Linked DNA regions of Astyanax mexicanus. The protein of the gene in region 1 interacts with the protein of each later gene in a pairwise test. Links are inferred from orthologs where the notes say so. Each region holds a gene or a part of one and is shown in the gene's direction. Other genes may lie near its edges.

What was found.
Region 2: the proteins of traf3ip1 (region 1) and sfr1 interact in a two-hybrid assay, tested with the Homo sapiens proteins (2 studies listed by BioGRID and IntAct). The link is inferred for Astyanax mexicanus from reciprocal best matches to the Homo sapiens genes TRAF3IP1 and SFR1.
Region 3: the proteins of traf3ip1 (region 1) and ift20 interact in a two-hybrid assay, tested with the Homo sapiens proteins (2 studies listed by IntAct). The link is inferred for Astyanax mexicanus from reciprocal best matches to the Homo sapiens genes TRAF3IP1 and IFT20.
Region 4: the proteins of traf3ip1 (region 1) and immt interact in a two-hybrid assay, tested with the Homo sapiens proteins (2 studies listed by BioGRID and IntAct). The link is inferred for Astyanax mexicanus from reciprocal best matches to the Homo sapiens genes TRAF3IP1 and IMMT.

The regions. Positions count from the first base shown.
Region 1 is NC_064418.1:38,618,476-38,626,202, forward strand, and holds the start of traf3ip1 (TRAF3-interacting protein 1), read left to right. Parts: upstream 1-4,662; 5' UTR 4,663-4,821; coding exon 4,822-4,944; intron 4,945-7,727. Other genes in the region: agr1 (anterior gradient 1), read right to left, coding at 853-951, 1,964-2,039.
Region 2 is NC_064414.1:38,353,538-38,361,477, forward strand, and holds sfr1 (swi5-dependent recombination DNA repair protein 1 homolog), read left to right. Parts: upstream 1-5,233; 5' UTR 5,234-5,499; coding exon 5,500-5,571; intron 5,572-6,385; coding exon 6,386-6,727; intron 6,728-6,821; coding exon 6,822-7,013; 3' UTR 7,014-7,416; downstream 7,417-7,940. UniProt on the Homo sapiens protein: Component of the SWI5-SFR1 complex, a complex required for double-strand break repair via homologous recombination. Acts as a transcriptional modulator for ESR1.
Region 3 is NC_064425.1:16,835,986-16,844,103, reverse strand, and holds the start of ift20 (intraflagellar transport protein 20 homolog), read left to right. Parts: upstream 1-4,899; 5' UTR 4,900-5,029; intron 5,030-7,046; 5' UTR 7,047-7,080; coding exon 7,081-7,207; intron 7,208-7,786; coding exon 7,787-7,872; intron 7,873-7,948; coding exon 7,949-8,052; intron 8,053-8,118. Other genes in the region: cell cycle checkpoint protein RAD1, read right to left, coding at 535-712, 907-1,005, 1,935-2,193, 2,353-2,461, 2,558-2,752. UniProt on the Homo sapiens protein: Part of intraflagellar transport (IFT) particles involved in ciliary process assembly. May play a role in the trafficking of ciliary membrane proteins from the Golgi complex to the cilium.
Region 4 is NC_064417.1:17,879,028-17,886,334, forward strand, and holds the start of immt (MICOS complex subunit MIC60), read left to right. Parts: upstream 1-4,136; 5' UTR 4,137-4,283; coding exon 4,284-4,325; intron 4,326-6,190; coding exon 6,191-6,264; intron 6,265-6,440; coding exon 6,441-6,633; intron 6,634-6,773; coding exon 6,774-6,939; intron 6,940-7,307. UniProt on the Homo sapiens protein: Component of the MICOS complex, a large protein complex of the mitochondrial inner membrane that plays crucial roles in the maintenance of crista junctions, inner membrane architecture, and formation of contact sites to the outer membrane.

The DNA.
Region 1 (7,727 bases):
TTGCATCTAAATGTGAACTTCTTTATGTTTTCTTACCTGTAGGACCTCTAGTTTTCTACAAGAAACAGCACCCATTGGGACACAGTCAAGTAGATATAGCATAAAAGATATATATATATATATATATATATATATATATATATATATATATATATATATATATATATATATATATATATGGGCTCTTTTTATAGCACATTTTCAAATTTGTTTGATCTACAGGACACATCATCCTAATTTAGTGCAATAAGAGTCAGTCTAGTTAAAACAAAGACAGTTTTTCTTTTACAAATTTAAATCCAAGAGTTTTTTTTCATGGCCTTACTTAAGAAAGGTTGTAAGGAGCAGTAAAGCCACTCTGCTGAAGTGCAGTGTTATACAGGAGTTTTAGTTTGGTTCTCCAGCCCCAAGACTCAAAACTTGAGCAGTATTAGCATTAGCTAGCTCTTTCGCCGTTCAGAGGTGAGTATTATCGGTCTGTAACCTGCTACCAGGTTAACCTGTCTAACCTGTAAACCACTAGCTAATAGCACCCTGGTTTACCGGAACACTTAAGGAAATCTGGAAATCTAAGCTTGCAGCAAATAAATAGAAGCTCCTTACTCACCCAAATAAACTGTATTTAGGAGAGAAATCTGTGTAGATTAACATCCAGTGCTTATTTGAATTATAGTTTTGTTACTTTGCATGGCTTAGATTTAAAGGTCTCGTCACCCAGTGGCAAGACCTGCTGAATCAGAAGGAAAACAGGGCGACACCACTGTTCATTGCTAGTGTCGCATAATGCATCTTAAAATCCAGTGCACCTTATAGTGTGGAAAAATACGTATACATATTTTGAAATGATCTTACCTCTGGAGAGAGTCTGGACTACTTTCTTTTTTCTTTGCATGGAGACGTCACAGGATAAGAAGAAGAGCAATGCGTACACACACCAGCGGCCCATGATTACTGTAAGAATCAGACAAACAGTGAGTATATTGTGCACATGTCTGTGTTAAGTGTTAAATTATCAGTATGATCAGTATGGTGGAATGTGTTTAGTTAAGTACCATACCCCTTTCACATTGCAGCCTGTAGCTATTAAAGGGATTGCTTAAAAAAAAAAGAGGAGGTGGCTGGTTGAGCAAGTGGTTGGACATGATTAACTGGTCGGTTTAAAAGGCAACTGCACTGTTTGTAGGTGTAGTTTTTCTTGAGGATGTTTTACAAATCAGGATATAATAGATTTATTGAAAAATCTTCCTGCAATTGCTAACATGAGCCTAAACACATTTTATATGACAGAACTCACACACATGCGAGTGTATTTACAGCTATGAAACTCACCAAAGAGGTCTGAATATATGGCCAACTGGTCTGTTTAACAGCTACTTTTTTAATTATAAAATATCTACACACATTTATTTGTATTAATGACATACACATTGGGCCAATACAATAAACAAAACATTTTGTAGACATAAAAAAATTGTCTGACAGAACCCACAGGTATGCAGGTATATGTATAGCTATGAAACCCACCAAACTGGTCTGAATATACAAATAACTGGTCTATTCAAAAGCTACTTTATGACCATTCCTTTATGATTTTTTTTTTACAAATCATGTTGTGGAGTAAATATTGAGAACCCTGCATGTGATTAGTTTTTTTTTTTTTAGAAATGCATGTTTAGACAGGCTGGTAAAAGCATTAGCATCTTGTTTTGATTATAATAATTGTTCATAACTTCCTCTATATCTCAATATTAGCTTACACTTATCCCAGTTGTGTGAAAATAAATTATACTGTTGTCAAAAACGAAAAAAAAAAAATCACAGATATACACTTTACACAACTTAAACAAATATGACATTTAATTTGTCACAGCCAAGCATAAACACAACACCTTTCAATTTCCCAATAATACATAATTAATTAAAAAACAATAAATACCAGTTTTTAAGTAAAAAGAAATCTTACCAAAAGTGAAACGGCTGAACCAGCTTTGCTCTTCTGCTCTGTCAGTCTGACAGTATTCATGGTGGTGCAGGTGCATTTATAGCTTAAAAGAACTCGCCAAACAGGTCTGAATACACGTACGAACACATGGCTAAACAAGACGTCCTCCTCCCAGTAGCTTTTCAATGACTCAAATTCTCACATTCATATAAACCACAATTTACAATTATTTTTTCATGTTTTGTTTACTAGCACTAATGGGAATCATGCACAGGTTACACTTGGACAAATACTGATCTCTTACTAAAGAAATACTGAAGTAAATAGAAGATGATCTGATATTTAATATGCTTAGTTTTGAGTCCCCCCCCCCCCCAAATTTTACATTTGACTGGTTTCGAAAAAGGAAAATCAAAACCCACTCTTTGACTGTAAAAGACCTTAAGGAAGATTGACTCTGACTTTGGGGTGGTAGTGCACTTTTATATTGTGACCTATATGTAGGCAAAAGAATACTTTTCTTGTGACACAAGTTTTCAAAGAAACACGTCCTGTGGATTGGTGGAGATAAAATTGGTTTTAGGCATGACCTGTAGAGATACAGCATGCAGGTTCAGAATTTCAGGAAAAGAACCTCTTTTCATAAGAAGGTGACACTATGGCACAAGGACCAGATGCTCAAATCACAGGTCAAGCTGCCTTGCCACCCATTCTCTTTTTGTCCGGGTAGGTAGATGGCACTGTCTGTGATGCTGGCTGGCACAGATGTATGTTGACTGATGTATCAGAACTAGGGATTTGGTGCTTTTTTCTAAGCTCATTGATTACCTAGTGATTCTGCATTTGAAGAAACAACGACTGGCTTCACATGTAACAGAATTAATAGTGATAGAGGACATCCTAATGTGAGAGCAGGTTCATTAGCTAAGCTAAATTGGGGGGAATAAAAGATGGAGAAAATATAAAATAAGAAAATAACACCTGTTCAGTTGTTAATCACAGGGGTGTATTGATCTTGCTTTGGAACTATACAGGGGTGATTTGTAATTAAGAATGTGTGGCTGCCTTTGTTGTGTATGTTGAAGCACAGAATTTGCTTAAACCAGTTAGAGGCCTAGAGGCTGTTATGAATTAAAGGTGTGGTTTTTTCCCTGTCTGTAGCTTTGTTCATGGGACCGGCAGATTTTTTTAGGTGTGTCAAAGAGTGAACAAGCCAGATTTTAGCACAGGCAGTGCTCTGCAATCAGTGATATTGTGAATTGGCTCATTGGAATTGGATCTATTTCATAACCTGTAACTATTATTTCACTTTCACTGTTGTAACACTTACTTTGATTGCAATAATAATGTGCCTTTTTGCATTTATAGTTATAGCAAGCCCACAGCCCTGTAATTAGCAATCCAGAACTTGCAGCTGAGCCACCACTGGACAGCTTTTTATACTGTAGCCTAATATTAATAAATCCATCTAATGTGAAAAAATACAGCAGTTTTTCCATGGTATGATGGTATTTCATGGTACTAAATGTGCAGTGGTATATTCAATATACCACAATACTCAATAGTATCATATAAATATCAAGGACATCTTGAATTATTCAACAGTATTTTTACCATTGTAGTTTTAAACCATTGTACTATTTTGGCTAAGGCCAAGGTAGACAAAATACCATTGAAATTATTTAAAGGATTTCATGTCTATATGGGCACATGCAGAGAGATGTTTAAATTACTTATATATAAAAACTAGTTACTTTTATTCTTCTGGTAAACCTGAACAAAATGTTTTACTTAACTGGAAAATTCCGCATTTCACTCAGTCATTTTATACTTTAATTTTTAACCACATCCATTCTGCCTCTACCTGTTTTTCTTAACCTTAACTACTTTTTTCAAATCACTTTTTATTTATTTGTTTGTTTATGTTTGTTTATTATTTTATCATCAATAATATTTTATTATTGTATAATTTCATTATTAGTTAGTTAGCTTAAGTTTATTTTTTGTACTTAAAATATTACATTGAATTGTTTACATTTTCTTGTTTTTAAACCTTTCTTATACCTATTTATCTTTATCTTTGGTTTACCTTCTTATTATGTATTTCCCTAGATCTGCTATCTGGGTTTTCTGAACTCTTTTTAAAAAAGTCTTAATTTCAGTTTAATATTAATTAATAATAATGATTATTTTCGGGGTTTTTTTCCATTAGTTTTAGCTTGATTACTGTCCTCTGTTTTATTTTTTTTTTATGTAAAGAGTATAAATCCCTATTATTGGAAATTGTTGGCGGCAATGAAAATACGGGCTCACCCTCAGTGCAGCTACCTCTGAGAAAAAAATAAAGATTGACTGATTAATTGATCGTTGCAAAATTATTATTATTATTATTATTATTATTATTATTATTATTATTATTATTACTATCATTATAAGTAGTAGGAGTTCATCTATATCCCCTTTAAATATTTATATTCATATAAACATTACTCTCCATTACTCTCTATTCTGTTATAGTCAGTATATTGTGCAGTAAATGTTTTATGTTTAATTTTTTCATATGTTTAATGTATAATAAAATGTGTTTTTAGCTAAAATCCTGTATTAGCTTTAGCTAAAGTGTATCATGCTATTAAACAGGCCCGGAGTTGTTAGCCGTTGCCATGGATATTTGCCACCCCTTGACAACCACGCAGGGTGTGCGCGTGCGCATATTGGCGAAGCGGGGCATTGTGGGATTGAACGCTATTGACACAGCAACACTGAGAGCCGCTCAGTGATTGTAGCTCCTCCGTTTTTGGGGTCTTTTTGCGGTGAATTACTCAATATTTCACACGGGAGCAGCGGTAACGTCGAATAGAGGACCGTAGGGCTTTGCTATGAACGGCTCGGTGGCTAAAAAGACCCAGGAGGTTCTGGGGAGAGTGATAAAGAAGCCTCCCCTGACTGAAAAACTGCTCAGCAAACCGCCGTTCCGATACCTGCACGATATATTAAGCGAGGTGAGTCCGGAGGAGAGCTGTCTGTTCGGTTATTTACCGAGAAATTAGCTTAAACCGCTAAACATCACGTAACTATAGCTGGATAATTTAACTAGCTCACTAACGTTACTGTGTCTGGCTCTGAACTCCTCGGCTCAGTCGGTCCAGATGCGCACAGCATTACAGGCTAACTAACGGTTAGCACTCCTACTTAAGCTCTCCTGAGCTCTGCAGGGAGCTGCAGATCTGGATTAGTGCTGTAAGGTGATGTGAGGTGGTTGTTCTTCTGCTGTTTTGCACCTTTCCAAGTTTTGCTCTGGCTTCACCACCACTGTAGATTATAGCCCACCGTTATAGCCTAAAGTAACACCACCAGCTTCAGCTAACTAGCTACAAGGGCTAGTCCAAGCCCAAGTTTTTACTAGTGAAACTCAAGTTGGCTAATTAGCTAACCTAGCTCGTGACAGATCTCTGTAGCTAACTTAACGCTAAGTTAGCTAGTTAGTTTTTACTAATAGAAACTATTATTTCAGATATCATCTCTGAAATGTTTAGTTACTAGATCTGTAGATCTACAGATCTATGTGTAGCTAAACACATTCTGACTAGACACACATTACCAGTACCAAACTCGGGTCCTAACTCTCATTTTACTAGTCAAAACTCAAGTTAGCTAGCTTAAGTAGCTGCAGATCTCTGTAACCTGTGTATAGTTAGCCTAGTTTTATATATTGAAATATAATGTCTGAAAGTTTTAATAGTGATTATGTCAGATCTACAGAGCTATAGCTAAACACATTCTGACTAGTCACATCATCTACAGCTCTGGAACAAAAATGAGAGAACAGTTAAAATGATTAGTTTATTATATTTTACCGTATTGAAAATCTCTGGAATATAATCAAGAGGAAGATGGATGATCACAAGCCATCAAACCAAACTGAACTGCTTGAGTTTTTGCACCAGGATTGGCATAAAGTTATCCAAAAGCAGTGTGTAAGACTGGTGGAGAGGAACATGTCAAGATGCATGAAAACTGTGATTAAAAAACAAAATTTTGATTTCTAAATTCTTAAAAGAGCTCAGGTCCTAACTCAGTTTTTTCTATGAAAACTAAAATAACAGATCTCATTTCAGATATAAGCTCTAAGATGTTTATTATTAATAAATAATATTAGATCTACAGATCTATGTCTAAACACGTTTTGATATCTCTAATATTACCAGGACCACATATATGTAATGTAATTGTATTTTTAATCTATATTTCTTACCTATAATTACATTTGTACAAGTAAAATCTTCAGTAATAGATATCTACAATTACTTTTTTTCCCTTACAAAACAAAAATATAGTTCAAGATATCTCCACTGCCATTCTGACTAATATAGTCTAGGTCTGCATCTATGAATCAATTCTGGCTTGTATAGTTTTGACTTCTAGTAGTGTGGGTTAAGGAATTGAGGTTTATATCTCTAATATGGAAATTGTATATAGTTACAGTTTAGTTCAGTGTATTAAACTGCAATTTCTACTTCTCAAAACTACATTGTAGATGTCTGGAATGACAATTTTCAAGAGTAAAGAGAAGTTATACATAATGTAATTATGTAAACAAAAATGTATTATAGATAAGAGAGTGTATTTTAATAATGTAAATCAGTCATAATAATATGACTAGTCAAAATACATAAAGGATATGTTCTCCTGGTAATATAACTAGTGATAATAGCTTGGTCTGTAGATCTGATAGTGTTACTAGTTAATATTACATAGCTTAAATCTGAAATATGGGTTTTTATTAGTAAAAACTGCATTAAAGAGATCTTGAGTTTAGGTTTTATCTGTAAAAACTGAGTTAGGACTTGTATAGTCAAAGTCAAAGTCAAAGTGGTTTTTATTGCCAGTTCAGCTATATACAGAGTACACAGTGAAACGAAACAACGTTCCTCCAAGGACCATGGTGCACATAAACACAGTTTATGTGGGTTCATTTTAGGATAAACCAGCGTCCATAATAGATGGGTATTCTGGAAACCTACATTGTTATTGAGTTATCATTATGATGCTTTTGGGGGTTGACCTTAAGTTAATAATACTTGGTAAGTGGACCTGTATCTAATACTTCCACTGTTTCTACTGTCAGACAGTTATGTATGTCTTGGTCTGTTGTATTCAGCTTCAGATTAGAGAATGAGACACTGTCTCTCTGTTCTGTTAGTGCCTCTCTCACTGCTTCACTGTTGCCAGGCACCTTGCTTAGCTATGGTTATGCAAACAAACGAGGAAGCCTTATGGGTGCTTGTACGGTCTGCATCCGCTTACCTAGCCACAGAGGTAGACATCTACTGATGCTGGAGGAGCAATGTTGGTACCCATCACACCAGTTGTTCCCAACCCTGGCCCTGGATAACTACCACTATATTTTAGAGTTTTTTTTTTTGCTTTTTAACAAATTCAAGAGGCCATATGTGCACATATATGATTTTATTTTCATTTACATTAATGATATATGGATGACACTCTTATCCAGAGTGATTATATACCTAAATCATTTTACACAGGCAAATGTAGTGTTAGAGACATGGTTAACATATCTTTGTTTAGATGTATTTGTCCAGCTGGGGAATCTGCCACAGGAAGGGCAATTTTGTTACCCACTATGTTTGGGTTGTGGTTTCAAACTCTGGTCATGGAAGACCCCATGACGTGCATATGTAGTGTTTTTCCTACTCTAACACACTACCTTCAACTCAGCAAAGGCTTGCTAATGATTAGCTGGATCAGTGTGTTGGGAGCACAG
Region 2 (7,940 bases), on another chromosome or scaffold:
ACCAAAAAAAAAAAAAAAAAAAAAAAAAAGGGCCAGCTGGGATAGGTTATAGTTTTCCTAAGCTTGTTTTTATATAATCCAGATGTAGCTGTAGTGTTTGGCTTTCACTGGTGTGCTGGGTGTATCTACATTTTGGGCATGTAAGAGAATGATGAGTATGAAAACAGTTTGTAACAGTTTGTTTTTTTTTTTTTTTTGAAGATTTGCCACTTCTACAAACAATTTTTCTCATTATTTAACTATGCCAGAGTTACAAATATTTATATTTAAATATTTATTTATTTATTTGCTTTAGTTAAATTTCATTTGATTATCTTCTGTTTCTGCCCATTTAAAATGCTACTAAAAATGTTAAATGAACAGTATACACAAATAAAGTATGTATTAAGTTTGAATTCCTACAATAATTCTACAAAACTTAATAGTAGATACTGAGTAAACAATCATTAAATAATTATCTGCATAAGTCTAGGATTTACTTTGACTTGATTCTTTATTTTTTCTGATCATTTTACACTAAACACAGTTATTGGATTTAAGGTATATATTTCAGGTAAGGTATATGGTTCAGTTATTCACTTTTATGGCTTTTTTATTAAGAAATGAAGTATGTGACACTTTTGCTGCAAGGTATACAGACATCAGAATTAAAATTAAACAGATTTATCTGACTTGCCCAGGCAATGTAGCATAATTTAGGGAAAATTATCCAGGATAATATCCCAATGATTCACCATCTCTGAAAGGAGCAGCACAAATGATTGGTTATGACGATGGTACTGGTTTCCATGTGAACGAAAGTCTTTCCTGAGCTACAAAGCCAATGTTGGCCTGTAGAGCCAAATACTTTTCCCCTCGTGCTCAGCTCTGTCCTGCTGCCCAGCTAACCACACCTTCCAGACACACAATACACATGACTCACGTTCAGCCTGGACTCCACCTCTGCTCCCCACAGAACAGCCATCAGAACAGCCAGGGCTCCACGAAGGCCAACTCTGGTGGGTTGGTTGCTATACAAAGTTGTTGACTTCAAACATGTGCCATCACTTGAGGCTGATTCACAGAGTACAGCTAACAGCAGTGGAATCTCCTGAGCATGTGTGAATGCAGGAACAGTAGCAGAAAGGCAGAACATTTTCAACAGGATGCTTGGTTTAAAAAGTTATTATTAGAATACTGTTCCTTTTGGCCCCTATTAACACAGAAAAATGAGAAGTAGATGAGAAGTGAAATTAATAATATTAATTATTGAAAATGCAGAATGTGTTATCAGTCTCTTGGAAATAAAACAAATGTAAGAAGGTTGTTATGCCACTGAAGGGGGAGCTTATTTTAAGATAATCTCCCTATTCTAACTAAAAAAAAAACAACATAATTGGGAGTTCACCCCTGGAGACCCTATCTATATCTTCACTGTTGGACAAAATTTTGTATCACCAAAATGACAACGTTTGGTGGATGTTTAGTGGACATCGGCAAGATTCATATTATCTAAAAAAAAAAAAAAAGGTAAGTATAGACATGCAAGGATTCAGCCGAATGTAATTTACTAATTAAGCATGCCAGATAAACAGTACTGTACTATTTGATTATTGCTGGGTTGTACCTACAAATATTACAAATATTATAACCTTATTATTATATATCATAACCCAAAGTTAAAATGCTAGATTGAAACAGTACCTGTCTTACTATATGCTGACCCTCTAATCACCACCCTGTTATGCTAGAAAAAGTCCACAGCCACAAGTAAAATGGTGAAGTAAGAAAATAGCCACACTTCTTGTCCACTGTGTGGTAAACGAATGTCATGCAAACCTGACATGGCTTGTTTTTATTGCCATTACATTTCTGCTAAACATGCACTGTCATGGAAATGTTAACACATTACCAGCTGATCTACTTACATCAGAGTTCTTTTAAAACAACCACAAGGACCAGTCCAATGACATCAACTTCGGTTTACCAGAGACCTGTAAACAAGATTTCAACAAACAGAAATCAACATTTCTGTGTTTGTTGTATGTCCATATATACAATATACAGTATATCTATTGTATATAAAATGCAAGTATGAATACATATATATAAAATATTAATTATGTTGCTGCTGAATGTGGGTACATGTTGATCACTTATTGTCTATTATGAATACAAATATATGCTTTAAAAGGGGAGTTGCAACTTTTATTATTATTATAATTATTAATATTATTATTATTAAGCTCATTGGTGTGCAGAAAACACATAGGTCTACAGTATGATACACTTTCTCTTCAGAACAACTGCAATCTCCCTAAAACTCTTTTCACCACATCAAAGGCATGTCGATACAGAAGACACACCCAGCCTCTATTGTGTAAGAAACATTATAGTTGACACTTTATCTAGGCTATTGTGTAGATATGTACACCTGCCCTGTGTTATTGTTGTCATCAAAGAGCAATTCTCTTGTCCTGAATGTCTAGGCATTAAAGCTCCATTCACAACCAGGTGGAAGGGATTATCAATTAATTAACATTATTTTCTGATTAATGGAAACTGCTTCCTGGTCTAAATATTTTCCAAGCAATGTGATTTTGTGAATTTGATTTGGCAGATTCCTGCACTGATTATTACTTAACTGATCATTTTAAATTAGTAATAAAATGATCTCAGGTGCAATAATAGGCAAACAATAAACACTAAAACACACACATACATTTGTGCTGTTCATGTCTTTTAATAAGGACATTAATTTAATGTCCACAGACTAGAAAAAGGAAGCCCACCTCTGTGTTAATGCTTTTAAGGATAGCTAATTTGCCAAAGTGTTTTAAATAAAAGTGTGGGTTATACAAGTGTTTTGTTTATTTAATAAAGAAAAACAAAGCTTTGATACTGAAAAATATGTTCTTCTCAAAAAAGGTGAACAATGCCTAGATGCAAACAACTTTCTATACATGATGAAGCTGGTGTACCCGCTCAATGTTGTGCAAAACTAATCAACATCTGATTGATGCTAAATATTATCTTTAGATTAATTAAGTCATCAAGCTGAAGAGTTCACTTACTTTTTCTAGCCTGCACTGACAATGTTTACTTAATGTGCTTAATTAAATACATGAACAGTACAACTGTGGGTTGTGATAAACAGTCTATAATGAGGACCTAGTCACACCACATTATATAGTAATCATCACTGGAAAAACCCAGTGAGCCAAAATCCAAACTCCACCTATCTTTTTTGCAACTGGAACTTCTCCCCACCAAGCAGGGATGATTATGCTGTTTTATGAGAAAGCAGCTTGTGGCTCTAATTCTAGCTTTGGGTGAAACCATAAGCAATACAGAACTCCAAGCAGTAAACATTTTGAACACCAGCCGGGACATGCTGACTTTTTGATCTCCACAACATTCTGTGGATGAAGGCAAAAGCAGAAGGAGCAGCACTATAATAATTAAATAACTGTATCTTCTGATTAAATAGGTAACGCACGTAAGGCAAGCATTTGGTCTTGTAAAAGAAAGAGTGGTACAGTAAAAAGGAGGGCGTACTCTCTCTTTCTGTAGCTACATGAAATTTATGACTTACTTTTAACCACCATTTTCTTGCCCATTTCCTGTGGGCATGATATACAATTGTTATAAAAACCTGTGCTAACTCACTGGGGCCAAATAGATCAGCTCAGAGTGTAATTGATCCAGTGACAATTAAGTATTTTTTCAGTGTGTAAAGGGAATCCAGTCCAGCCAGATATTCTTTCTAACTTACTTCTTGTTAGTAGGTCTTACCTGCACACTGACCGTCCTCCTCTTGCTGACATGCCTAATTTTCCTTATAACAATTATATGTAAAACTCACCATTATCACCACTCATTACTGTAAAAAAATATAATCTAATACAGACTGTATTATCATCTATATGTCCTAAACATAGACTGTATATAGCTGGACAGAGCATCGTCTCGCAAAACTGAAGCCACCACAGGTCGGGCGCCCCCTGCTGTTCGGTTTCAGAAAGCAGTGTAACCCCACCCATCCCCATAGGTTTCAATGGCAAAATAGACAACTTTCAATCACACATTTTTCTAATATACTGTAATTCTACCTCCATTAATTAAATGCAACAGCTAGTGTAACCTCTGCTTATATTGTCAATTTTTTATATCCCCAAAGAATTCGTTTTTAAAACGTTATTCAGCTCTGTTCAAAAAAGGTGTGGTTATTGTAAAAGGGCTGGTTATGGGTGGGACCAGTAATAGATCGTCAGCTCCGCTCTGCAGTCTGTGACCGCGAGGCAGCCCTCAGGGGCGGGGTTATTCAAATTAGTAGGCTGTCTCTCCACAGTCTTTCTCCTTCCTCTGGTCTCTACTGTGCAGACTGGGGTGTCAGGATCGCCAACATGGTGGAAGATTTTTTCTTCATTTTCATTGAGTGAATGGGAACGGAGACACAGCGTCCATCTTTTTTACTGGTCTCTGGTCCTAAATTATATCAAATCAATCTTACCAAAAAAGTACCTTATATCTCCAACTTTTTCCCTTACATTTTTTCCCTTTACTTTTAAACTAAAAGCTGCTTGAAACACAATGAATTCTGTTCAACTATCTACCCACAGTGTAAAAAATGTGACTGTTTAAACCATTACTTTCGTATAAATACTGCAATTATCTGTTTCACCAAATAACGTTATGTGAATTTCAAAGCAGCTAAAATACAAAGGCAATTTAGGGGAGTTCAAATATTTAACATTATAGGCAAATAGAAGGTTAACGGCTTAAAGAGGACGAAGACGATTTTCCAGAATGATGTGAGATTGATGTGAACAGAAATGAGTCCAAGAGGCACATGGAATGTATGTGACTGTATGGAAAGATGTGGGTCTCACCTCTCTCAGATTTAGTTACTTCACCTTTAAAAGAAATTAAAGAAAGATGTCAAGGAGAAAGCATGGAAACTGTAGTTGTACTGTAACACTGTAGGCAATAAGAATATATAAATGGTTTTTTTTTCTCACTTTTTCTGCATACTTATTTCTTTACTATTTATAAATAAACCTTTCTAGTTCCTTTTTACTATAGTTATACGACTAGTTATATTCTCATATTAAATGCGTTTCACAATTAACTATATATTAAAGACAGGAGATCTTTATATAAACGTGCTATTTTGATAAATGCAAGTTTTTAGCTTTGGAAATATACTACATTTCCCATGAAACCCTTGTGTTACCCGGAAGTGACGATTCATTTGGAGGCAGCAGGCGGTAGTATGAATGTAAACTGCTGTTTTTCAGCTGAGAGTTTCAGAGCTACCGTTCGTTATATAGCCAAATAATCATGCTGTTTAATTGCAGATCTTGCATATTTAACAAGATAGATCGACTGTGCTGAGTTTCCTTAATGCTTGCTCTGTCTTAAAGCGCAGCTTTAGTTAAGCTAAGCTTGTTTACTAGCTTCAGCTGTAAAAGTTTCCCTGCTACTTTGAATTGGCTGCGGACAGACAGACAGACAGCTATGGATAAAACACCGGTGAGACTCTCATCAGAGCATCAGGAGTCTGTTCCAAGTGGATCCAGTGTAAACAAGGTAGTTATCAGTTTAACTATATATATATAACGTTACATACACACATACATTTGTTTCATGACTGTGCTTCAATATAGGTTTGTGACTTACTGTACAGTTAGGAGTACATATAAAACATTAAGTCTTTGATTAGGTCTAATAAATATTAGATATTCAAACGACATTTACTGATATATCATGTGTAAATAGTTAGCTAGCTAATTTACAGACCCTTACTGGGCTTTAAAGGTTTGTTGGAGGTTTAAAAGTTTTCTTTAGTTTAGGTGACATAAATTAACTACAAACTAAAGACAAATCAAGAACATAAATGGAAATTGGATTGCTGGGTTGAAAAATGTATGGTTTACGTTTATTCTCACAGGCTGCAATCTGAAGCTGTAGCTGTATTGTCCCTATATTGTCAAAACAATTCACTGCTATAACGTAATTATATAATTATATAACGTAATAATATAATTCTAGGGCTAGGTTACCTAAGGTCACCACTGATTTCTAGAATCGACTGATTTCTGATTTACAAGGCCCCCCATTTTAGAGTTAGTGCTGAAGATAAAACTAGCTCCTTTAAAATTTATTTTTGCTGATATAGGTCTGTTCCAACAATCATAACAATTTAAATGCTTTAATAAAATGTTTAATGTTACATAGAGCTAGTTCTGACAATTTATAGAACAGAATGTTTAAATACAAATTCTGACATTTTTGTGTAATTTGTTACATCAGAATTTTAACCTTCGCACACATGTGCCCACAATAATAAAAAAAATGTGTGGTTTAAGGTGCAGTGTTTGAATGCCTCTCTATTTATTCCTAGCCCATGAGTGCTGCCCTGAAAGCCAGGTTAAAAAGATCACGGCCTTCCTTTACATCCCCTTTGAGTGTGGTCAAACGGCTTAAAGTGGATGAAGATGACTTACCACACAGTTTAAACGGAGAGGCAGATCAGACTGGACCAACAGAGGATGAGGCTGAGATTGATGTGAACAGAAATGAGACCAAGAAAGACTTTAAAGACTGTGTGGAGAGATGTGGGTCTGACCTTTCTCAGGCCTCTCAAAGTGAGTTACTTTACCTCCAAGAGAAATTAAAGAAAGATGTCAAGGAGAAAGCTGAGACTCTGCGAAGGCTGAATATGGTCAGAATGTACAGAAAGAAGGTAAATATCATAATGAATATATCTGTGTTTGTGTTAAAACATGATAATAAAAAAAATGTGTCCGTAGTGAATGATATATTTTTTCTCTTATTAGAACGATCTGACCCAGCTGCAGAGTCTGATAGATAAATGGAGGCGGTGTGCTCAAGCAGTGCTGTATGAACTACAAACAGAATTACCTACAGATCGCCAGAAAGCCAGCCTCTCTCAGCTTATTGACCACTTTGGACTGGAGGACAGTATTCTGCACTTTGATAGGACAGCGGAGGACTTCACAGACAGCTAATATTCATTAAGGTCTTTTTTTGTTCTATGTTATTGTTGTTCTTGTCATCATAAATCTCTGTTTTCAATCCTTTACTGTTTAAATCTTCATTTAGGGGTTTGGGAACATTAAGTGGTAGAAGTATTATTTTAACATTGAAGAAAAGGATGATTCAATGTAACTGATTTTGAACTTAGTGCATGTAAAACTGTCACAGCATCCTGACTTTGATTGAAGTGTTTTTCAAGTTACTGTGAAACTTCATCGACAACAGAGTTTAACCTCTAAGTCATTGTACTTAGTTTTTTGCACTTTGCACTTTTTGTTCACCTGTTTAATACTATTGAAAATGCAATTATTTGTTAAAGCTGATGTCTTTGCTTAAAAAGGTGACTGTGAATAAACAACATTTTGTTTAAAATGAGTTCTATGTAGTTTGGAGTTGAAGTTGAATTTAAGTGCAGTCACTTTTGTGATGCTCCACACACTTTATTCATGGCCAGGAGTGGGTGTAAATTTTGTGTGTTCTTGCAAGGATTTTGAAATGACCGACACATTAAGTATTCATTTACGAACAAAGTGATTTGCAAATACTTTAACACAAATGTGTTCTGCCTGTTTTTATGAATATTGAATAATTTTAATGATTACAAAGTGCAGAGTGAAATATATTCTAAACCTGTACTGCATCTCAAAAGCTGTAGATTTTAAAGTCTGATAAATACTGCCTCATAGATGCTTCATTCTTTAACAGTCCTTTCCACGCTGGCCAGCTGCAGATCAAGAGCTATGTTCTCTTTCTTCAGTCCAGTTTGTCTTTCACCTGCTTTATCAGCTTTTTAATGTTCTCAGTTTTCTTCTGATGATAAGGTCATAAAAGGTCTGCAGCCCTGATTAGAGTAACATTATTTAGAGCATTTACTTTGGTTTCTGTGTTTATCTTTCTTT
Region 3 (8,118 bases), on another chromosome or scaffold:
AAATGTCACATTTGTCAAAAACAAAATGTGTCAACTCAGCTGCTGCTGCTGTTGTTGTTGTTGTTCTGTTGTTGTCCTTTTAACCTTTCAAAACAACTTCCACTTTTCTGTTCTGTTTGGTTTTAACAAGTCTTAGTTTTATATTTAAGGTCCCCTAAGGGTCAAGTCTCTGTTGTATTAGCTGGCAGGTTAATCTACCAAACCTACCAAAAAACTACCAAAAATAAACAACTCTAGAGCAACAACTGGAGATTTCAAACTCCTTTAATGGTATATCACACAGTAATGTATGTGTCATATCAGATCATCTTCATGTTAACAACTTTAAAGAAACTGATAAAAAGATTTATAAAGTTCAAAATCTTATTATATAACAAATACAAGCTCTGTTACTTTATCTCTTTTTTAGAAACTGAATTTAATAAAATACAATGAACAAATCAGATCACTAATCTGATTAAACGACACAGTTTAACATGAAAAGGGAAACAATTAACAGCACGTTTTAAGATGAGCAAAATAACTCATGTTGGTCTATTCTTCATCAGCCTCTTCGTCTGGGCAGCAGTAATACTCAACAAAACAAATCTGTCCATCATCATTCCGCACAAGGTACTGTAATGAGAGGAAGCCTCGACTGTCTGTCCTTACAGACACCTTACAGGACAGCGCCAACGCCTTGGTGGAGGGTTTTAATAGAGACATCTTGTACCTGAGTGAGCAACAGCAAAACACAAACTGATATTATCCGGCGTCAATGCCAAAAGTCATAGGACAGGAACTAAAATTGTGTCACATGAATTTTGTCTATATTCACATTGTCTGTAATGTCTGTGAACAAATCTGATTTGATCATTTTAATTTGGAAATTAACCTTCTAGTCATTACAAAGTTTGGTCTTCTTACCTGTTGGTTTGTGTCTTTGTACACTGGAACAGCTCCATCATTTCAGAGTCTTTGGGATAGTCGTAATGGGCATTTCCAGAATTTCCAAATGTGGACAATCTGGGGGGAAAACAATCAAATTAATTATTTATATTGTTTGATATTAGTAATATAATATGGTATTGAGTTTTAGGCAGTGTTTTAAATGTGATAAAGCTTTGGAAAACAACTAGTTAAACAGGGCTAATTATTATACATACAACATAAAAAAACATAATGCAACATGAAAAAAACATAATTTTTATTATTTTATCTTTTTTTTATGTGCCCATACTTACTTTTAAAGGGCCCAAAATATTCCATGATGTAAACATGTTTATTAGATAACAGGCTAGTTTTTATCCAGATGCACAAATCTAACCTAATGAGATTGTCAACAAAATCAATAATAGGTCAATAATAGGGGTGGGAATCTCTAGGCACCTTACGATTTGAATACAATTCAGAGGTCTGCGATTAGATTATAAAACGTTTCTCGATTCGTCTTGATGCATCTATTTCTTTTATACAGGATTTATTTGTTCTCATTGTATGAATATTAATGAAGTAGAGCATCTGTAATGATCCATAATATATCCTTAAAAAAGCATAGTTTTTTTTAATTAACCAGATGATTAGTACAAAAAAGTGCCTTCAGCATAGTGACGGTGTATCGACAGTTTGGAGGAAAGTAGCGGATGGCTTGATAGGTAGCTTGCTGGATTAATGATCGTAGTAAAAAAAACCCAGCTTGACAGCGTGAGCGGCAGAAAACAGACTCACACAGGGAAGGAGAACATCAGGGAAATGCGAGATCAAATGTTATGCGTATTTTAGAACATGCATGCAAAATTCGTACATGTTGGCAAGTCTAAATCGATTTTTAGCATTTATGAATCGATACAGAATCGCCCACGTCCGAATCGAGCTGAATGTATGTAAGACACAAAAATGTCCCCCACTCTTGGTCAATATCATTGCCAATAAGACAAGGCATAGTGTTTCTGTACCTGAAATAGGGGTGACTGGGTGACATTGTTAGCTGCAGGATCTCACTGGTCATGTCCAGTTCTGAGAAAGCCTCTTTCAGGCTGTCTGACTGAAGTATGACCTTGTTGGTCACATTGGTGCTACAGAAGTCAAAGTCTAAGGGTTCCTCTGGTTCTTGGGTGTTAATCTTGCAAACAGTAACCACTCCTCCTTCCTCCAGGAACAGGGTCAATGGATAGCCATAACCATTGTAGCACATTTTCAGGGCAGTCATCACTCCTTCATTTTTTTAAAGAGAGAGAATGTATGATCCATCAAGATAAAATCATAAACAGTTTAATTACAATATGTTTTTAATGTTGTTTTAGCTCAATCAGTGATGCAACTACACTAACAGTGCATTATTATATCTAATCATTATTTATCATAGAAACGTGCCTGGCACTGTGCTTCCTCCAAAGATGGTGAGACAATCCAGAAGCACAGTTAGGTTAACCTGAAACCCAACCACATCCTCTTTAAGTGTGAACTCTTGAAAAATGTCTGCCTGCAGGATGAGAAAACCACACAATCAATTACAGTCAAAATGCATTTAAAACTGAGTGTTTTTGAGAATTCTTAATGTCTCATTCTGAACACTGACCTGAATGAACGCATTTGCTTGAAGACATTTGGAGTCTTCTACGGTTACTTTTAACCCATTCTGCGTCGCATTGAATATTGCATGGTCTTTGAAGGATATTGCTTTTAAGATGTTAGAAAGGTTTCTCACATTATCCAAACTAGCTATCAGGATGTACTCATCATTCTCTGGTTGAGACTGAGTTGACAAAGGCATTCTTCTGATCACAGAAAACACCTGCAATGACATTATAGAAGATAGTTAAAACTGAGACTCTGTAGTCCAGGGTCCATATTTATGTCCATAGTATATTTTACCATATAATAGCATATTTTTGGTAAATCAAATAGGACCATAAAACATGGCTGTTGAAATTTATATAAATATGCTTAAAGACTGAATTGTTTTCCTGGCACTAAATGTAGGGGTTGAGGTTAGAGCTGTACAATATTAACAAATGCCCTATTGATATAAATAGATTATTTATTAATAGATAATTAATACAAAAAAATAATATTGCAGTTTTTAACACAGACATACTGCTCCACCCCACTGGGCTGTCGAACACATAAAGCATTAATATTAGCTTGTTAGCTACCTACTTCTACTCATATAAAAAAAAAAAACTAAAAGCAAAGCAGTAGCAAGCTAAACATTTTTGTTAATTGTTATTTAACTTCTAATGTTAGCTAGACATTTGTTAAACATTAAACAGCAACACTAAAGTGATCTCAGGAAACTTTTAAAACAGTTTGAGCAGCCTGTCAAAAATGGCCAAAAACCCAAAGGAAATTGTGATTAACTCAGGATGCATGAAAACTGTGATTAAAAAACAGCGTTATTCCACCAAATATCTGCATCAACTGTGTGTGTGTGCCGAAATAATAACCAGTTTTAGATCTTACCTCAGTGTGTATTAAACTACATGTAGTTTCAGTAAGAGGGCTGATTTGTGGCGCTGAATGTTTTGCTCGTGTTCTTCTTCTCCGTTTTTTCTCAGCAGCTCCACTGCCCCCTGCAGTGTTGGAGATACCGGGAGGCTTTTCATAATAAAAGTCCTACTAAAACTTTTAATGGATTTGATATGATTCCCAAAGAATACGTATAAAGGCCTTGAATAAATCTGTATAAATACTATTAAGTCTATAAATACTTTTTTGGGACGTTTTTGAATGTCCAGGAACACAGCACTGTGTGAATGCTGTGGGCAATGTAAAATAGGGAACATATATTATGGGATATTGGTGTTACAGACATTTAATAGAGTTATAGTACAAAATAAAGTGTTATATACATTATAGGAACACATTTTTTAAACGCGTAAATCTATTGTTTTGTTTTGGCCCCCGGTTTAACGGGGCAGTGCACTGATCCGCCGGTCGCCGTGGCAGCGGCAGAGACTCTTCGGGGCGGGGACGGAATCTCATCATCTGGAGCAGAGCCGGTTTACGGAGAGCCTGCCCACTTCTAATTATATCAGAAAATAAGTGCAAATCGTTAGAGGGAGCCCGCGAGGGAGTCCAAAATGAATGGGGGTGAATGGAGCTAAACAGCTAAAAACTCAAATTAAAATGATTAATTAACTACGTGTCCCGGATATTACATTAACGTAAAAAGTAAATTGACTAATTGAATAAATTTGTTAATCAAGCAAATAAACGTACCCGTATTTTCTACGTTATTACAACAAATATTTTTGGACAACAAATTGCATGCATCAATGTAATGCTGATCACTTTATGATTGTTTAAGGCTAAATAATAAAAAAAAATAAAGAATTGGGCGTTACTTTTCATTATTTCATTTTTTTCCATCTGGTTTAATAAAAAGAAATGGGTTTAATAAAAAGAAATCTTAAATTTAGGGAAAATGAAAAAATAAACCTTTACTCAATTCTTTAATTTTTCATCTAGTATTATAAGGTTGGATTTTACCTTTTTTTTTTTTTTTTTTTTTTTTACCTTTTTTTGGATTTAAAATTTTGTAAAGGTCCATTTCTTTTTTTTGTTGTGAAATTTTAGATTATGGAAGGCCGAAATGTAAAACGAAAATGGCCTTTACTATAGCATGTGGGGGGAAATTGTATTTAGCCTTAAATGGTCTGAAAATTACGGGTAAACATTGCACTGTTCTAGTTACAGTGAGATGACTGTTTAGCAAGCTTATGCGGTAACAAAGACGTCCATAACACATTTAAAAGGTTTGTAACTGGCAATAAAGGGCGTTAAACATTATTTAAATATGGTTCTGTATTGAGGAAATTAACATATTTTTAGTATGATTTTTATTAGACATATTAAACATAAACTATGATTTTGAGCGCCCTCTGGTGCTGTGATGAACCCGGAACACGTTCTGTAGTGGGAATTCTCCTCAGTAGAGAATCTCTGATCTGGAGAGTCTTTCTGCCACATAACCGAGAGAAGCGGCGAGCGGAGAAAACGGCGAAGAGACCGGCGAGATCAGCATATCTCCATTAATTCAGCTTAGCGGGTATGTGTGGAGATTCCTTCACTTTCTATAGTAAATAAAGCGGTTTATAATGTTAAATACAGTGTGTTTTTTGTGGTGGGTTTACTCGATAGCTGCGTTGCTAACCCCGCTAGCTGATTGTTGTGATTAGCTGAGTTGTTGTGTTGTGAGAGAAGCTCTGTAAACTGATGTTAAACTCGGCGGATCAGAGAGCAGAGCTAAGAAACTGCAGCTTTACAGGCTGTCAGTTTAGTCAGTTCCGTTTAGATACTCTGTTTTAATGTGATCAGGAATCCTCACTATACCAACACCAGTTGATCAGCAGCCATATGTCACCCAGCTGCTCAGATAACCTACAAATAGTCTAAGATAGGTGGTAGATAATACCCTGATATACAGCTCTGGAAAAAAATAAGAGACTACTTTAATTTCTGAATTAGTTTCTTTGATGTTGCTATTTATCGGTAAATGTTTGAGTAAAATGAACATTGTTGTTTTATTCTATAAACTACAGACAACATTTCTCCAAAATTCCAGATAACAATATTGGCATTTAGAAAATTTATTTGCAGAAAATGAGAAATGACTGAATTAACAAAAAAGATGCAGAGCTTTTAGACCTCAAATAATTTAAAGAAAACCTCCACCATTCTTACACACTGCTTTTGGATAACTTTGTCACTCCTGGTGCAAACATTCAAGCAGTTCAGTTTGGTTTGATGGTTTGTGTTCATCCATCTTCCTCTTGATTATATTCCAGAAGTTTTAATTTTTTTAAAATCAATCAAAGAAAATAATTTTTAAGTGGTCAATTATTTTTTTCCAGAGCTGTATTATTTAATTTTAGGGCCATATGGGCATTATGGTACAATTTTGTGATTTTTTCAGTAAAAGGAAAATTCCCATAGGTCTTATTTCCCAATAAAGTCTATTAGAGACAGATTATATCTGTCCAATATTATTTATTTTACTAGATATATGAAGATATTTGGAGTGCATTATTAGTATTATGACATGTTGCATCATTGACTTCTATTACAGTCTGGTAAAAATGCCAATTAGGGGTGCACCATATCATATGGTATACAATTATATTGGCAAATACATTTTAATATTAATTTTCTTGCAGTAGTGTATTCTTAAATTTATTATTTTATTTATTGTTTTGTCATATCCCCAAAAATAATGTTATCCTGAAATATCCTGATATAATTTTAGGCTCATATTGCCCACCCCTAGTATAAGATGACACCAGATTTTACTAACTCATACAGAATCTACTTATTTCAGATGTCACCTATGAAATGTTTACTAGTAATAATATCAGATCTACAGATCAATAGATCTATAAAGCTTTTCTGACCTGTCATGTGTTACTATTGATTTACAATATTCATTTACAATGACCTTTACTATCTCTTATCTATAATTAAAATGTTACTAGTACACTGAAGTACTAGTATTTCAGTGTATACATGCCTATAATTGTCACAGTTATTAGTAACAGAAAAATGATTACTAATAAAAATATATTTTATTATATTCATTATATTATTGGTAGTCAGAACTTGAATTGTATATTTATTTACTGTCAGCTTATCTACAAAAATATTGGTCACTGCCTATCATAAGAGATGGGTAACCATGCTTTATCTAATCTGTTTTTAGGTCTATAATTTTTATTATTGTTATGTTCTCTTTTGTTCTCTTTCCTGACAATTCTGTCTGTCCCTTGCATTGCTGTAACATTGTGAATTAACCTGCTGTGGGATTAATAAAGGCTTTTCGTATAATACTTTATGTTATAGAGATTTAAACCTGCCCATAACATTAGTTACTAATCAGATCAAATGTCTCTAAGTGTTATTTATTTTTTAACTTTTTTACTTTTCTCTACTGTAGTTGATCTGTACCATATGTCTCATTAAGTCCTGTTTTAATCATCAGTTTAAACCTTAAAGAAAAGAAAAGTTTACATTTATTCTCACAACTGACTCACAGTTTAAAAAGACTGTAATCTTCTGTTGCTTCTCAACAGTTGGACCTAATCAGTGATTGGCTGGCCTCAGGTCATGGCTAAAGATCCACTGGCAGAAGCTGGGCTTCACTTCGATGAACTTAATAAGCTACGAATACTTGAACCTGATGTTGGTCAGAAGACCACAGAGCTTAAAGAGGAGTGCAAAGAATTTGTTGACAGTAAGTATGGCTGTATTATAATTTATTTCCAGACTTTTAACACTTTTATTATCATGTTAATAAGGGCCAAAATGTACACAATCAAATTTATCACAATGTATTAATTAATTTAGATCAGTTCAGTAGAAAAACTGCCAAGAATGTCCACAACGGTACCCAAAAACAATTATGATTGTTGAAATCAACAAGTGTTTAAACATCATATCACCATTATTGAAACATTCTGATATATACTCAATTTGAATTACTGTCCATCCCATGTAAAATAACCTGTTAAATACTTTAAAGTCTGAACACAGAACACTGATGGAAATGAATTACCATGAGACAGAACCAAGTGGCTTTAAAGACTTTTTGCAAACTTTTTACAAATTTAATAAAAACTTACAGTCTTTAAAAATGCATCTATATTTTTCATATATTAAATCAATTAAGTAGACAAACATTTAACATTGTTGCCCTGATGTTGAAAGGTTTGGTGTTTGCACTGGGTAACTGCATGTGCACTTTCTTACTCTCCACCACTTGTCAGATAACAGCTTTAATTAAACTGATTTCATTTCATTTCTTGGAAAACAGAAATTGGCCAGTTTCAGAAAATAGTGGGTGGACTCATTGAGATGGTGGATGAACTGGCCAAGGAAGCAGAAAAAGAAAAAATGAAGGTACGTATGTGCCATTAAGATGACAGTTTAATGATAACTTGCAGACAGCTAAATAATTTCAACAACTGTTTCACAGGCAATAGGAGCTAGAAATCTGCTAAAATCAGTTGTAAAACAGCGAGAGGCCCAGCAGCAGCAGCTCCAGGCTCTAATAGCAGAGAAGAAGATGCAGCTAGAACGGTAATAATATTACTATCCCTCTGTATTTGTATATAGGCGTAACTGCATTTGTGTTCCTGTCCATAA
Region 4 (7,307 bases), on another chromosome or scaffold:
TTGTGACAAAGTTTCAACTGAGTATATATTTTATCAAATAATCACTTGTAGCCCATTTTGCAAGTCTTACTGTCATTTGACCTGCAGTTCAACAGAGGGCTTTCAGGGTTTCTTTTCTGTTTTACTGTTGATAGTAATACTGTCATTGGTGGGTAGTAACCATTGGTTTGTTTAATTTTAGTTGAGTATACAGAACCGTAATTAAACCATGTAAGAATTGTCAAATGATAGTATTAAAAGGTTTACATTCTATTGTGACTACTTCTGAAATAAATATTATGAAATATAACTAATACCTCTTCACTTGCACAATTGTTTCAGCAGGTGGCACCAAAGTTGGACAATTATAAATGTTACTGTCTAAATATTTGAGTTGTATTTTTAACTAATTTTTGTTTAATGTTATTTTTTTTCTTCTAATAATTTTTTTATTTATCTGTTTCTTGCTGAATCTTTGTTGTAACAATATCAATTACTTCCAATACCTTGTTTACTTTGAAAAGCTCTTAGTGTTTTGCAAATGAGCCTTTATGTAAACCAAAGCAAAAATTTCTTGATGAAATCTAACGGTTGCTGAAAATACTGACTAGGTGTGGACTGCACACATCAAGTTATATCAAGTCTAACCAACATGACATACTACAACTATGATATTGGTCAATTTAACCATTGCTGATTTGTAGCAACAGTTTTTTGTGAATTAATTTCAATAGCTTTTGAACCGTTGAGGGTATCACAACAGAACAAGTTGTATTAGATCAAGTCCCACCCACGTGACATACTACAACTCTGATATTGGTCAATTTAACCCTTGCTGATTTGTAGCAACAGTTTTTTGTTAATTAATTTTAATAGCTTTTGAACCGTTAAGGTTATTGATACAGAACAAGTTGTATTAGATCAAGTCCCACCCACATGACATACTACAACTCTGATATTGGTCAAATTAATCCTTGTTCTGTTGTGATACCCTCAACGGTTCAAAAGCTATTGAAATTAATTCACAAAAAACTGTTGCTACAAATCAGCAAGGGTTAAATTGACCAATATCAGAGTTGTAGTATGTCATATGGGTGGGACTTGATCTAATACAACTTGTTCTGTTGTGATACCCTCAACGGTTCAAAAGCTATTGAAATTAATTCACAAAAAACCTGTTGCTACAAATCAGCAAGGGTTAATTTGACCAATATCAGAGTTGTAGTATGTCATGTGGGTGGGACTTGATCTAATACAACTTGTTCTGTTGTGATACCCTCAACGGTTCAAAAGCTATTGAAATTAATTCACAAAAAACCTGTTGCTACAAATCAGCAAGGGTTAATTTGACCAATATCAGAGTTGTAGTATGTCATGTGGGTGGGACTTGATCTAATACAACTTGTTCTGTTGTGATACCCTCAACGGTTCAAAAGCTATTGAAATTAATTCACAAAAAACCTGTTGCTACAAATCAGCAAGGGTTAAATTGACCAATATCAGAGTTGTAGTATGTCATGTGGGTGGGACTTGATCTAATACAACTTGTTCTGTTGTGATACCCTCAACGGTTCAAAAGCTATTGAAATTAATTCACAAAAAACCTGTTGCTACAAATCAGCAAGGGTTAATTTGACCAATATCAGAGTTGTAGTATGTCATGTGGGTGGGACTTGATCTAATACAACTTGTTCTGTTGTGATACCCTCAACGGTTCAAAAGCTATTGAAATTAATTCACAAAAAACCTGTTGCAACAAATCAGCAAGGGTTAATTTGACCAATATCAGAGTTGTAGTATGTCATGTGGGTGGGACTTGATCTAATACAACTTGTTCTGTTGTGATACCCTCAACGGTTCAAAAGCTATTGAAATTAATTCACAAAAAACTGTTGCTACAAATCAGCAAGGGTTAAATTGACCAATATCAGAGTTGTAGTATGTCATATGGGTGGGACTTGATCTAATACAACTTGTTCTGTTGTGATACCCTCAACGGTTCAAAAGCTATTGAAATTAATTCACAAAAAACTGTTGCTACAAATCAGCAAGGGTTAAATTGACCAATATCAGAGTTGTAGTATGTCATATGGGTGGGACTTGATCTAATACAACTTGTTCTGTTGTGATACCCTCAACAGTTCAAAAGCTATTGAAATTAATTCACAAAAAACTGTTGCTACAAATCAGCAAGGGTTAATTTGACCAATATCATAGTTGTAGTATGTCATGTTGGTTAGACTTGATATAACTTGATGTGTGCAGTCCACACCTAGTCAGTATTTTCAGCAACCGTTAGATTTCATCAAGAAATTTTTGCTTTGGTTTACATAAAGGCTCATTTGCAAAACACTAAGAGCTTTTCAAAGTAAACAAGGTATTGGAAGTAATTGATATTGTTACAACAAAGATTCAGCAAGAAACAGATAAATAAAAAAATTATTAGAAGAAAAAAAATAACATTAAACAAAAATTAGTTAAAAATACAACTCAAATATTTAGACAGTAACATTTATAATTGTCCAACTTTGGTGCCACCTGCTGAAACAATTGTGCAAGTGAAGAGGTATTAGTTATATTTCATAATATTTATTTCAGAAGTAGTCACAATAGAATGTAAACCTTTTAATACTATCATTTGACAATTCTTACATGGTTTAATTACGGTTCTGTATACTCAACTAAAATTAAACAAACCAATGGTTACTACCCACCAATGACAGTATTACTATCAACAGTAAAACAGAAAAAGAAACCCTGAAAGCCCTCTGTTGAACTGCAGGTCAAATGACAGTAAGACTTGCAAAATGGGCTACAAGTGATTATTTGATAAAATATATACTCAGTTGAAACTTTGTCACAAAATCAGAATGAAATACTTTATGAAATATTTTTTAAAAAGGTTTTTTAAAAACAGTTACAAATTGAACAAAAAATGAGTGTAACCTTTATATTTTTAGATTGTTTTTAACAAAACAATTATTATAAAAAAATATTGTCAGGAACTCCTGAAGTCTTGTCATTTGTGACCAGCTAAAAACACTAAAGTACACTACACTTTCATATAATGAAGCATAAAGCATTTGCCCCGCCCATCTTCATTCGCCTTTTTGCTGTGTCGAGTAGTTTGTAGACGGTCCCTTAGCTCTCGTGCAGGTCGCGGCAGCCCATAGACGACAATGTGTTCTGTGGTTTTCTAAAGGCAGATGTTTGAGAGGGGAAAGACGTTGTAGCTGCTTGCTTTGGATGTCAGCATATAAAATAAGCAAGTATTAACCATTTTGCACACACAGTTCAAAAGCTATTGAAGAAAGAAATCCGAATATGCGAATATGAAACCAACTTTACCGGAGTCTCCCCGACTATGGAATTCTCTTCCAACTGCAGTTAAGCTATCTCCCACTCTTCCCATATTTAAATCGAATCTTAAAACTCATCTATTCTCTCTTGCTTATGGTCTCTCTTCTGCTTAACATTATGTTTGATCTCACATACTATAGTACTGCTGAGTTGGAGCTCCACTGTAAATGTTGTACCTGTATTGTCTGTGTATTGTATATCTGTATCTTTGTACCAATAATTGTAAGCGTCTTTGGGTTTTAGAAAAGCGCAATATAAAAATAAAGTATTATCATTATTATTATTATATCTCAAAACTGCGATTCAGTGATAATCAGTATATCGCAAAACTATTCTCCAATTCACAGCGACTATGCTACTGAGAAAAAAAAGTAAGTAAATAGCAGGAATTATGGATTTGTGTCAGTTTCACACAATTTAAATACCAATATTCACCCCATGTTTACATTTGATTGAGCCGTTACTGTACTATGTCAAATTTGGGGGTGAGTTGAGAGTTGAATTCCCGCTGTTGCTGTTGTGTATGAACAGTCTTTTTTAATGAACTCTATGCCCCTATGGGCTATTAAATCTGTATTTCTGAATGCTGGGGGTAAATGGAGGTGGGCTAATCGAGAACAGTTTTGTTCTCGTAATGTTTCACTACACCCCAAGTCTATTTCACTCCGGATTTCTTCTTCAATGTGTTTAATAATACAGAAGGATATTATTTTAAAAATTCTCTAAAGTGACATGAACCCTTGACTACCCCACCCCACCCCACCCCACCCCAGCAGCTGGTCGTGCCAAGTGCGCATGCGCGGCCTCTCCGTCACTCGGCGAACGGCGCTGGGAGTGAGTGCGCAGTGCTACCGAGGGTTCACCACTTTTATAATGTTTTGCTGAGCCGTCTGATTGTTAAGACTGTCGCTTTAGACCGAGACGCGAAAGGAGGAAAGGCCACAATGCTGCGCGTGTGCTGGAAAGGTGCAAATGCAGCGGCGCGGGTAAGCTTTGCTGAAGGACCGCCGAGTCTATGATTAGCCGGAGAGCTAAACTCCCCAGAGCGGTCATTTAGTGACCCACACCGCAGGCCGGCCGGGTCTATCGGCTCTAATAACGTGTTATCAGACGCCTCTGTTTATACAGTTACTCGGTGCTCCCTGTAGTGTGTTATTTAAGGTGCAGCAGCGCTAAAACTCTGGATTTATGGTGATAAATTGCGTGTCATTTGAAGTGGCTAACTGTGTAGCTGCTAGCTGGGACACTTTGAGTTCTACGTAAACGGCGTAAGTCAAAGCGTGGAGGGGCGGTCGTCCGTGTTGGATTGACGGCTGATGTAGCAAATGAAATGTGAGATCGGCAGTAGAAACGAGTGCCTCAACCAATAGGGCGCGTTTCTTCTTCAGTGACGTGGATGTGGGCGTACCAAGTGTGATTCAAGTTTTCCGTCATCCATTCATGTGCATTAGGAACCGAGGAGACGTTGGTGCAGAGTTTATAGTTTGCTGCTGAAATTTAGTTTATTTCGCTTTAATCAGATATCAGACCTGTGATATCGAGTGCACAAGGAGCGCGCGAACCCGCGACTGAGTTTATTTCGCATTGAGGCGAATTGTTTTTATCCAATTTGAGGGCGTGACCTTGCCAAGTTCATTGGAGTTGAAGGGAAACCCCTGGCATATGGCTGATTTCTCAGATGTTCATCACATTTTTTTTACACATAATCACATGTTTTATCTTGTGCATGTTATATTTACACAAAGGGTGTAAGTAAGACTGGCTGATAAGGGAGCTCAAAAATATTCTCTCACAGTATTTAAAGACACTTTCACAGTACATGATAGAAATTACAGGGTTTGCATCCAGATTAAATTCATCAGTAGAAGCAAATTACTGTATGACATACAGTACCAGTCAAAATTTAGACATACATTCTCATTCATTGTTTGCTTTATTTAATTTCTACATTGTAGATTCAAAATAAAAACATGAAAACAATCAATGAATACATGTGGAATTGCATAGTGAACTAAACAGTGTTTGTCCTCTGCAATACTGACCTAAACCCATCTAAGATGGTGATTTGGGATGAGCTGGAGCTTCAGAGCATAAAGTAAAAGCAGAAACTATTGTTTAGCACCTTTAGACCTACAACACGCAGCACATTCAGACTTTCATCATAATCACTAGAAAAAGACACAGAAACACAGACAACACTCTAACTGTTTAAATTATAAATAGTGCGATAGTGTACATGGTTTTAATAATTAATCTAAATTGTTGAATTATATTCCATGGATTTTGTTTAGGGATTATTTAACTACACAAAAAGTTACTTATTCTGTAAGGTAGTAGTGATTTTAAGCTTCTTATATGATTATTGAGGTGGTGATTGAGATTTGAAGAGAGCAGTGTATTTGTTTTTATCTGTTGTATGTTACTGCACCAGACAGAATGGTTGCACACTTCCAGGCAGTTGTTTTCATGTGGCCACTAGGTGATGAGGATGTTTTTGCTAGATGTTTGCTGTGGTGTTGCTAGGTGGTTGCTGTGGTATCCCTGGTAGTTTCTAGAATGTTGCGAAATGGGTTGCTAAATGAGTGATATAGTGTTCATAGTGGTTGCTCTTTAGTTACTAGGCAGTTGCTATGGTGTATCACATGGTTGTGAGGGTGTTGCACAGTGGTCACTGTGTTATCCCATGTGGATAGTTTGGTGTTAGTATTGTATTCTTACATGATCAGTTGCTCCCACCATCACCCAGTTGATTATCATTGGTGATTACACATCTGTTCTTGTTTATGGGCTCTGATTGGAGTTGCTGTCAATTTGTGGATAATGTTTTTTTTTTTTTTTTTTGTCTTCTCAGAATTGCCTCTGTGGTAAGGTACCAGTCCACCCTCTGCAGCACTGCCGCCGCTACACCTCAGCTGGAAACTCAGGGTATGAATTGACTGATTAAATAAAAAAAAATGCTTAGCTACAAATAAAGTGTTTGGATACAGATTTACCATACAGATTATCTCTAGCACACTAACCTGCCATTGTTATATTATGACTCTCTAAATATAATTTCATTTTAAATGTGATGCATTTTCTCTTGGGTCGGTCTATGGCAGGTCAGCTGCAGGAAAGATTGTGGCTGCTAGTATCCTAACAGTCGGTGGAGGTCTAGGTGGTACAATCCTGTACGCTAAATGGGACCCTAAATTCAGAGCAAATGTTGAGAAGAGCGTTCCATATTCTGACCAGCTTTTTGAGATGGCGCTTGGTCCCCCTCCACCACCGTTTATCCCAATGCAAAAGAAACCGGTAAGAGGAAAACCTGTTTAATTCAGATGTCTCATCCACTGTGCTTTGTATGTTTACAGACTGTCTGTCAGGCTTTAGATAGAGTCTATCTAGGTATATTTTGTTTATTGTTTTTAAATGCCGTTCTCTATGTATTTTAGGTGAAGGCTGAACCACTGCAGATCTCTTCAGTGTCTGAAGCCTCAAAGGACTCAAAGCAACCCAAAGCAAAAAGCAAAGCTAAAGAGAAGCAGCCAGAGCCAGCACCTGTGGATCCCAAACCTGCAGTAGAGGAAGCCCCAGCTCTGCCTCCACAGACCATTGAGGGTGAGTTTACATAATTCTGGATGATCTAATGGACTAGAAACATGCAACATGTTTTTTTCCTTGAATAGGTGGGTTTATCCAATAGACCTTTATCGGTCTTACGGGGGTTGTGTATCCTGCAGGCCCTTGTGATGTCTTGTAAAACTAAGCATATTATTAGGGTTTTTGTTAACAGCTTTTACTCTTCTGGGAAGGCTTTTACATTAGATCAGGGTGCTGATTTCTCTGTTGTAACAGACTTACTAAACCTTACAGTTAACACATTCAACAGAGTTAAGTCTGGCCCTCAGTCCAGCATTGCCCTTACCTGCGCTTGATGCATACTATGAAGACTGCAAGATTACAATGCAAATGTCATTGTTGAGAGT